Linked DNA regions of Bombyx mori. The main gene of each other region encodes a partner of the protein of the gene in region 2 in a complex. Links are inferred from orthologs where the notes say so. Each region holds a gene or a part of one and is shown on either strand. Other genes may lie near its edges.

Evidence for each region.
Region 1: DNA polymerase alpha catalytic subunit (region 2) and DNA primase small subunit share a complex: the UniProt entries of both Drosophila melanogaster proteins name them as parts of the alpha DNA polymerase complex. The link is inferred for Bombyx mori from reciprocal best matches to the Drosophila melanogaster genes PolA1 and Prim1.

Annotation. Positions count from the first base shown.
Region 1 is NC_085116.1:10,063,439-10,068,655, reverse strand, and holds DNA primase small subunit, read right to left. Parts: upstream 3,567-5,217; 5' UTR 3,413-3,566; coding exon 3,410-3,412; intron 3,342-3,409; exon of another isoform or gene 3,341-3,341; coding exon 3,084-3,340; intron 2,946-3,083; coding exon 2,776-2,945; intron 2,409-2,775; coding exon 2,210-2,408; intron 1,490-2,209; coding exon 1,282-1,489; intron 1,069-1,281; coding exon 382-1,068; 3' UTR 289-381; coding exon of another isoform or gene 269-288; 3' UTR 219-268; downstream 1-218. Other genes in the region: uncharacterized protein LOC101739672, read left to right, coding at 4,310-4,361, 4,508-4,711. UniProt on the Drosophila melanogaster protein: Catalytic subunit of the DNA primase complex and component of the DNA polymerase alpha complex (also known as the alpha DNA polymerase-primase complex) which play an essential role in the initiation of DNA synthesis.
Region 2 is NC_085121.1:13,176,304-13,181,656, forward strand, and holds the start of DNA polymerase alpha catalytic subunit, read left to right. Parts: upstream 1-1,973; 5' UTR 1,974-2,151; coding exon 2,152-2,167; intron 2,168-2,253; coding exon 2,254-2,451; intron 2,452-2,728; coding exon 2,729-2,910; intron 2,911-3,393; coding exon 3,394-3,603; intron 3,604-4,231; coding exon 4,232-4,291; intron 4,292-4,695; coding exon 4,696-5,277; intron 5,278-5,353. UniProt on the Drosophila melanogaster protein: Catalytic subunit of the DNA polymerase alpha complex (also known as the alpha DNA polymerase-primase complex) which plays an essential role in the initiation of DNA synthesis.

The DNA of each region.
Region 1 (5,217 bases), on a different chromosome or scaffold from region 2:
TATTACCATAAGCAATGAAATTTACCTTACGATCAGGTAGACTGTGAGTACCTTCAAATAAGTCAATAAGATGTAAAAAGCCCAACTCATTTCTGCATACTTATGCTTCTGTTTGGATTAAGGGAAGGCCATTATGCAACCTACATTTACCATTTAACAGCAAGTAGACCGTAAGATCGTTCACCCTTACATACAGAAAAAAAACATCAGCCAACCAATTACATATTTTCATTATTAAACTTTATTTGAGAATCACATGTTCATTGATTTAAAAATCCAATGATGTATCTGCAACAAAAATAATAATTATAAAGAGTTCTTTAGACAAGTTCCATTTAAACACATTTAACATTTACTCTGGTTATTATTTCAGTTTAGACATTAACAACCTTTCGCTCCGAAACAAAGGTATTGAGCGAAAGGTATTGAGAAAAATACTAGGACCAGTTCGGAAAGAAGACGGTTCTTGGCACGTCCGGAAAAATAAGGATGTGGAGAGGCTTTTTGGTGAGCGAAATATTCTGGGGGAGATGAAGGCACGGAGGCTCGGATGGTTCGGACATGTAGTACGTATGGAGCAGGATCGGGCTGTGAAACGGGTGTACCGGAGGGACGCCGCCCCGTAGGGAGGCCCAAGTACCGCTGGTGTGACAGCGCCAGTGGTGATAGCGCCAGCTCAGTAGTAGTAGTAGACATAAACAAGATAACAAAAACTAAAATAGTCTTACTGGCATCACTGCGTTTTCTCATAGCTTCAGTTTTCTCCAAAGCGAATACAAGTTCTTGGAAAATTTTAACAGCCGCTTTCATATTAGTTTCATGTTGGTTATTTTCGGCGACACTATCATCTAATAAACTGTATATTGTTGGTATTTCATCGATCTTCAAATTCTTTGCATTTGCTGACTTGAAAACAACAGACACTTTTCCAGTTTTCGGATGTATACTGAATGGAGACTTGAGCAAGTGATTGAAACCTTTTGTCACATTAACATCTAATCTGGGGTAGCAATATTGAATTTTTATTTCTTCTATAAGATATTTTATTTTTCGTATAACATTTCCATTCTACAAATTGAAAAACATGACAAAATAGAGTCATACATATATATGCATATTTTTTAGGACACAACTTCTAATATGTAGGTTAATCTTGAACTGTATCCTTGGAAAAAAATTTAAGCAGTTTAAAAAACAAATGCCAACGACTTTTCAATGAATTTCTAATTTTTAATGAAGTACCAAATTTTTCTTTATGTCAAAATTTTATTATTTTTTTACCTCTCTGCAATAATTTTCATAAATATTTATAAAAGTGTTCCACTTATTCAATGATGGTTCCTGCATTTTTTTCAAAGTTGTTTCAACCTGTGATTTTAACGCATCATCTGGTATCAACTTCAAAAATGAGTTTAGCTTATCTGTTGCTAAAAATTCCTGATCTTGTAATAATTGTTCAAAGTATTTGTCTATTATATTTAAGGCACGCCTGGAACAAGTATTTAAATATACTATTTTTAATTTATTTATTACTTACACTTCATGTATTTTATATATTAGTAAACTTAATGCCTAACTCATTCTCCTTACGAAAATGAATATCAGATCGAACATGAAACGTGTAAATATACAAGGGAATGCGTAACTTCCTCAAGGGAGTGTTATATAAGTTATGTGTAGTATAAAATTATAAAGTGTAAAAGTTTATTAGTGAAAATGATAAGGACAGCGGTATTAAAATTATAAGTTTGGGGGTGATGTCTTACTGTATACACTTGTAAAGTATATAAAGGTATGTATATAAAAGGGACTTTGTGTCAAATCTAGTCCTGATCTTGATATGTGACATTATATCAAGGTAACATTCTAAGCATTCTAAATTCTGATTAGCATGACCAATGTAAATTATTTTCACATGTAACCAATAATAATACAGTGTTACATCATAATCACTTTTCCCTTAGCCTTAGTAATGATTTTTACTGGTCAAAACTCTGGTAATGTGCTCCAGCAGCTTATGAAAGAAAATAATAGTATTTTCTTATTAATCTTCTTTGGATGGGTAGATCGACTCATAAAAGTAATTTTTAATTTTGCGAGAAGTAATTAACAAAATTATTATCAACAAAATTATGATCATCTATCATTTTCAAAAAATATTTATGTAAATCTCATGTAAGAATATCAAATTAAAAAAAAATGATATAACCTTATACTGGAATGTAAGTTTTCATTGCCAAGATGCACTTTTTTACTTTGGTTTTCACCACCTACGATTAAACAAAGGTAATCGGCAATAGCTCCTCGACCTGGACTATCGAGAGTTCTGGCTTCATAATCTGATACCCAACAGTGAATACCACGCCGACCTGAAAATACCCACAGGATGCTTTGGAACCCGAAGTCATCTGAAATTAGTAAGTCAAGGATGTGAATTTGAATTCAATCAATCATTTTGTCAATTATAAGAATCATGAATCACTTGTATCATGAAAATAATACTATAGATGTGGATAATTGAAGTCAAAATCCATTCACTAGTGGAAATATATAAGTAACTAACTACTACAGTGTAAATATGTTTTGGTTTTCTTTTTTTTTTCTATTGGCCCACAAACATCCTCTGCTGGACATATGGTTTTGTAGTTTTTTTTCGCCACCCCAAGTATGCATGAGATAGGTTACATTTTAATGAGTGTGGTGTGGTAAATAAATATAGAAATATAGAAGAATCTTTAATGGTCTGTAGCTCAGTAAAGTAAATCATGTATTTACCTTTTAAAGCTTTATCAATGATTTCACATGCAATAACCATAAATTTCCAGCATTTTTCACACACTCTAGCTTCTTGACAACATGTTCTTATTTCATCATAGTCTGTTAAATCTATATCGAATACTAGTTCTCGCGATATCACTACAGCGTCATGTCTTCCTACAGAAGGCCTTAAATAACGGAAGAATACCAAGTGACAATAAAAGAGTGTAATATTGCTTTTTAAATGCTAATAAATGAAATTTACTTTATTAAATATTCAAGCATGATATTTTAACTTCATACAAACTTTTAGACATAAAACATACTTTGTGTTGTAAACTGCTCCAACATCCAATTTGTGTGGACATTTCTTTTGAAGAAGGGTTTGTAAATCCTTTTGATGCGAAATCGACAAATAACGGAGGTAGACATCGTCAGCTAAAGTAAATGATAATTCTCTGTTACAGAGCGGTTGAGGCGAACTACCGCATGCTAGCCATCTACAGAATATATTTTGCGGAAATTGCCTGGCATAGTAAGTGGGTAGCATATCAGATAGAATGTTTTCATTGTGTTCGCCAATCTGTACAATTAAATTGATATTAATCAGAAGTTTAGTTTTTTATTTAGATCAGTTTGAATTTGAACTTACCATTTTTACCAAAACAACAACTCCTATAATGACATTTTTTTTAGGGATTTCATGACCTGATAACTAATACCTTTAAGTCATGTCTTATTTTAATTTATATTCTTATTTTTATGAAAAATGATAACCAATATGGAGTGAAATGAAATGAAATGAAGATGATTAATTTGAGACATTAATCAACTGGGATGAAATTAAATGAAATGAGATGAGATGATATCTCTCTATCTATAATCTCAGTCATTTTACTGAGATTATATTTCATTCCATACCATCTCATCTCATTTCATTTAATTTCATCCCAGTTGATTAATGTCTCAAATTAATCATCTTCATTTCATTTCACTCCTTAATATCATTTTTCATAAACATAAGAATATAAATTAAAATAAGACATGACTTAAAAGTCTTAGTTACCAAGTCATTAAATCCTTTAATAAAAACTAATTAGGAATCCGAGACCGAAAATTTGTAGAATCGATTAAATGAGTCGTCTATTAACAAAGGCGGCAATCTGTACATTTGGACAAAAAATTTTTATTGATATGTCAATACAGATTTATTTGAATATAATCGTCTCTTTCAAAGAATACGGTTCAAAACCTGCATTAAATAAAGGTTAATAGTTAACCTGTTATTTATCTAAGATGTCGTTCCGAAGAGTTTTGTGACTGCCAATGGAATACAAAGTCAATAATTCGTTTTTCTGATTTACCAATCATTGTCCAAAAGTCAGATTGCCGCCTTTGATAATAGTCGACTCAAATGTAAAAAAAATTTTTTAACCTACCCGTAAACATTTTTCAACTACCTACCCTAAATTTTATTCAGCTTTGTGTGTGAATTGAATCTTGATTTAGTTATTGATGTCAAAACTGCTGAAATTCTGACTACTAAAACAATATGGAAATTAATAAAGACACCGCTTTTTTAATAGTAGTAAAAATGTCATTTCGTAAGTAGGAACATTAAAAAATAACCGTAAACCCTAATTTAATAAGTAATGGATCTTTTAAAATACTTTTCACATGTGTTTGTGGTTTAAACCACCAACAGTATTTACTTTAATTTACGAAAATAATTATTCGTCTATATTTTCAGGTTCACTGCACAATTCGTATTGCAAGACTTCGGAAAAATTTCTTAATGCATCAAAGGTATTGATCGAATCGTTGCTAAGAAAGCCATTGGCAATGACTTTAATAGCAGCCTGGTTATTAAATTTACTGCTTATATCTACGTTTTTTTCTGTAACTGTTATTTTGATGACCTCAACTATATTTCTAGTAATTGTATTTTTAGAAGGTAAGTTACTATACTACTAATATTAGATACTGAATATTAAAGAATTAAAAAAAAAAATATTAAAATTTCAGACAAGGCTGTAATACTATTTAGAAAACTCTATAGCCTGCCTTAGAAAGATAGCCACATCATAAATATCACACATTGTCTCAAGACGAAAGTCATTGACCGGTGTGTGACATATTGCATTATGTCGTAATCGCTCTCAATGGACATTATCAGAAAGCTCAATGTCACCCAAAGAGCAGTGGCGATGGTGATGCTCGGAGTTTTCCGACAACATTATATCAGGAATGAGGGGAAACAAGGTGGACTGACAACTTTGAGATTCGCTGGAATCCACTGGATGTAGGTAGCACAAAACTGGTCGTTGTGGCGAGGTTTGGGAAGGCCTATGTCCAGCAGTGGACGTTTGTAACCTGAAAAATATTCAGCGGCTTATTAACGGGGTACAATATCCGGTTCGAGTCGGTATTTTTGTGAACAGTATGTTGTATTTGAGAACT
Region 2 (5,353 bases):
TTTGAAGTACACTTCACTAAAATAAAGAAATACTTATTTTACAAATTGTTATTTCATAATATGGCAATTTAATTTGACTTTAAATTAAAATCTATTCTTCTATTTAATATGAGTGAGTGGGATGACAAATCAAATTAGGTAAATAAAAGTTTTAAATGTATTTTTTATACAATCCAAACCTCAATCTAACTCATATAAAGGAATATAAAGGATCAATTCTTAAGAAAAAATCTCTCATAAGTTAGACAAACCTAAATGTATTACCAGTATACTTGTTTATTTACAGTTAAAAATTCTCAGAACTTAATATAAAAACAACTTACAATCTCCTGATGAGCTCTGGTGGGTATCTGTTCCTAGGATCCCTCATTTCTCCAGGAATCCTGTGGTTTCTGGCTTCCAACATAATTCTGTGCTCAATGTATACATCCAAGGAATCCTTTGCTACTACCTGATATTGTTATATAATTTGTTTTTTTAATTTTGAGTTATATTATACTGTGATATAACATTCAAACACTAATAGCTCAGGAAAGACTACAATAGCAGAACCGTTTTTTGTGTTGCAATGTCCAGTGGTTAGAATAATTAAGCATTAGCTTTAACGAAACAAACATTGCATGTGAAAACAATTTTATATAAAATTTTATTTGATAATTCATTTTATTTATATTTGTGTAACACAACTGTAATGTGCAACACACGTAATGAAAAATATTCTATTCATTTTATACAATGAATGAAATTATAAGGTCACATACATTATGTACATTTACGCAGCAATTTGCACATAAATGCTTTCTGTTATTGTTAGTATAATTGCTTTTTCCCATTTTTGCTACAATCTTTAAGCTTTGCATAATTATATCAATGCTTACCTCTTTGAATTTGTAATCAGGCAGCATTTCATAAACCACGTCTGACACCATATTAGTGTATCTTCTGGTATTTTGTTTGACTGCCTCAGTCAAATCTTCATTCATCTCATGTAAATCATCCAAGTCAACTTCAAATGCTATCTATAATAAAAAATTAGTTTTTGTTATTAACGTCTTCTTGCTTCCTGTGTGCCCTAAGCAGGCAGTCATGATGTGTATTGAGGTTTAGTTTAGTTTGATTTCAGTTACATAAAAATTTCGGTAATTTAAAGTATAATTCATACAACAAGCTATAATTTTTTTTAATCCTAACTTTCTGTTATCCTAATAACTGTATACACATAAATAAACTAATCTTCATTATCTGCTAATAATCATTATCTTGATCCTGCGATAGTTTACAATAAGATAACAATTATACCTTATAGTAAAACTGGAAAAATTGTCCCAGCAATAAAATAAGTGAAATTATATTATTATATCATTCAAAGAACTAGAAACTACAACTACCCTAACCTCAACATAGCATTGTATTTTTATTATTATTATGAACCGAACAATCTTACCTGTTCTCTGTGTGCAACTTTAGTAAGTTGTTCAGCATATTTAAAATACTTTTTTCCTTCATCATCAGTTTGACAAAAATCAACGAAAAAGTTCTTGAAAGATTCTGTAAAGGTTTATTGAAATTATTTAATCGTTCATAATTTTGGTAATATGCTCGATCTTCTTCAAGTACCTTTATCTGCAGTGTAATCACGCATTGCCATTATGTTAGAAATATGTTATTCGAATAATTGCTGTCTTCAAATACTAATCACAAATGTATCACCAGCACCGATCACAAGCATCACAACAAATGTTTTTTGACAGTTACAAATTGGCGCGAAATTTGTGAAACTAAGAAGATTTTTATTTCTAAATGGATAGGTAAAGGGAACAACTCGCATATTAAAAGTCTTCTAAAAAAGGGCAAAAACGAAATCTACGACATGCAAATTTCACACCATATACCTTATCCTTTAGTAGAACATGAAGACTTTAATTAATTAATTTAGAAAAGAGATTCGACTGTATAGTATGATATCCTCGCCCTTTCTGTTGCAAAACGGAATACAAATATCAAATGTCAATCACAGCTGAAGGCTTTCAAAGTGGATACGCGCCAAAATATCTAAAAAGAATTTAACCTAATCAAAATATTAGTGTTTCTTGTAAATGTAAATTGTTTTAAACTTATATATGTGTACAAAAGAAAAGCTATTAAAAGAGAATGGCCGATTCAATAGGTACTGCAATACTTAAGTCTGTATCTAGGATGCATTTAGTTTCGAAACTCCTTGAACATTTAACAAAATGTATTTACTGTTTGTAGCTGCTCAGCGTGCGAAGCGACAAAAAACAGACCGACACGGTCGATTCTCGGCGTTTGAGAAGCTAAAACAATTAAAAGGGAAAGGTGTAAAGCATAAGTACGATGTGGATGTGCTTGAGAATGTGTACGACACTGTTGACGAGAAAGAATACACAGAAAGAGTTCTACAGCGACAAGAAGACGATTGGATAGAAGATGGTAAATCCATATTACAAATCAGTACATAATTTTTAGTTTCAACTAATAATATTAACTAGACTTTTCAAAAAAGTTTCACATATAAATTTTCAAAATCCTTATTTATTAAATGTTTAAAGTGACTACAAACCGAATTGAAATTTTCAAGTGAGAAAACATCCATTCTGTAAATTAAATGTGCATTAGTGACACAGTAATGTTTGTTTTCAATACTGGCTATACTTAACGAGTGAAAAATATGTATTAGAAGATTCAACTAATGTAACAAACTTTTTAGATGGTACTGGCTATGTTGAAGATGGAAGGGAGATATTTGATGATGATGATGATGCTTATGAAGCAACAAATAGTAAAGATACAGGCAGAGGACAGAAAAGGAAGGCCAAAGTTGCAGCACAGTCCTCAGGAAAAGGGAATATACGAAACTTAATTGGTAACATGCCTAGTAAGAAAAAAGAGGTTTGTTATATTTCATTTATTTAATTTATATTTAAGAATGCAATCCATTGATATCTATGATTATAATGTTTTAGATAGGATATTTTAAGTACTAATTAGTTCTTATGTATCGGGGACATCCTTCTGATAATTTTAGGAAAAATATAAAAACTATAGTCTTCTATAGAGTTACAGACTATGACAAATATAATTATAGTCTAGATTCCAAGAGAAAAGTGCAAAAACTTAATAATTTTTTGCATAATATAGATCCAACCTTATATTTCTGAAATAAAGATTAATAAAAAAAAATATTTTTATAACCTGTAATCCTAGTAAAAACAGGGTTAATTTAATTTGGTACTTGAGCAACTTTGACTACTTCTCTAAACTAAATTCCCTGTTTAATTGCACATATTATCAAATAATTGGCAACTTGGTAATGTTTGAATCCTAACTTAATTTTTTATTAGTAATTTAATATGTTGTTTTTCTTTCTTTCAGGATGTAAAGATTTCAGAAGATAATATTTTATCTGATATTATATCTGATTTGGATGCTAACACTGCATCAAATGTAGTAAAATCTACACTGCCTATAACTAAAACTAACATTGTGGATACAAGTAAGAGAGATGCACAAAACTACTTCAAAAGTCTTTCTGCTAACGTCAAGAAACCTTCTGTACTAAAAACATTCAAGGAAGAAAAGGAGGCATGTATCATTTTTTCATTTGTATCGAGTTATTAACTGTTAGTCTAAGGGGCTATTCCAAATACTTGGAGAATTTGCCAACACTAGCCTTAGCGCGAGCAGTTCTTGGCAGAATTCACCACTAGATCAGAATCACGACCTATTGAGAAGATCTAGCAAGAAACTCAGCCAGCTGTGTCACTGGTTAATTCGGTTGTCGTTATCGACGAGTTCGACTAGGTCCGGTGCTTGAAGAGCAAAAAATGTCAAAGATATGTAAAAAGTATGTAATTAGCAGTGACCAGAATAAGAGAATTATCATATCCCGCCGCTTTGTCGAAATAGCGTTTTGACGATACCTAAATTAGTTACGTATTGGTTCTAAATTTAAGTCTTCTGTGCTTTTCCTGTAACCTGATTGGATAATTATTTATAAAAGTATAAATGTTGTAGTAGCTGATACTGAATAGTAATTTATTCATGTAACACAATTTGAAAAGTAAACTTCGCATTAAAAGGTCGTCGAAAATATATAACGAAATGTATTTATGCAGAATGTACCCATTGAAAATCGTTCTCTCTACACAAAACAGATGTTACATTACTAAAATAATTTGCAACAGCAAGCTAAAACTTGTTATTATTTCAGACTGAAAGTATTGAGCCAGACACATCTGCAGTACAGTGTGAAAAAAATATGGTAAATATGGTAAAGTTAAATATTTTTTAATTGTATTTTAAATATCCTTGATATTATTGATGATGACAGATTACCTACCTAATGATTAGTGGTTTCTGCCCCTTGTAGACATCAGCAATACCAGAGCTACACATAGCCAATCTCCTGTGGACACTTTTCGAACCTTGTTTAAAATAGAACATCATAGCAATCCGGTTAGCATGGAGGGTGAGAGAGAGCCAGATGATATCCAGTGCTATAGAAGAAACAACTCCTTAGTAATTCCATAAAACCTTCGATAATAACATGGAGACAACAATCATTCTATTAACTCTATTCTATAATTTATTACATGTAAAGTTTGTTTTTGTTTAAATAAAGTGTAACAGCCACAGCCTACAAATATTAACAAATATATTATTTTAACCTCACAGATAAATCATGTGGTAAATGAACCTGCAAATAAGAAAATCAAGAAACCAGAATGGAACATTGAAAAAGAAATCAAGCAAGAACTTAATGAAACGCTTACTCCTAATATAGAAGAATTTGAAACACAAGATATTGACTTTGACGATGACTTCAGCAATGATGCAAAAACGTCCCAAGTGAAAAACGAGCCTGTCAGCACCGGAACTATCACCGAAAATCCTACAACAGACATCACTGATGAATTTTTCAATGACGAATTTGAAATATTCCCTTTACCAAAGAAAGAAACTACGAAAGAACTGAAACCATTGACTAGTACATGGCCAGAACAAGGAGGTGACAACCAAACTGTGTCTTCAGTTCAAAGTGATGGTCAATTACCACTGCAAACCAATGAAACAGGGGAGAAAGTGCTTAGATTTTACTGGCTTGATGCATGGGAAGATCGGTTTGTAAAACCAGGCGTTATATACCTATTTGGAAAAGTTTATGTTGACCCATCAAAAAAGAAGGCTGGATGTGTATCATGCTGCCTTGTTGTGAAGAATGTTAATAGGCAGATATTCCTGTTGCCAAGAGAATATGTAAGTTTTTTATTGCTATAAATATGTGTGACTCGTAGTGCTTCCCACTTTGCAATATGAGATTGATATCTCAATT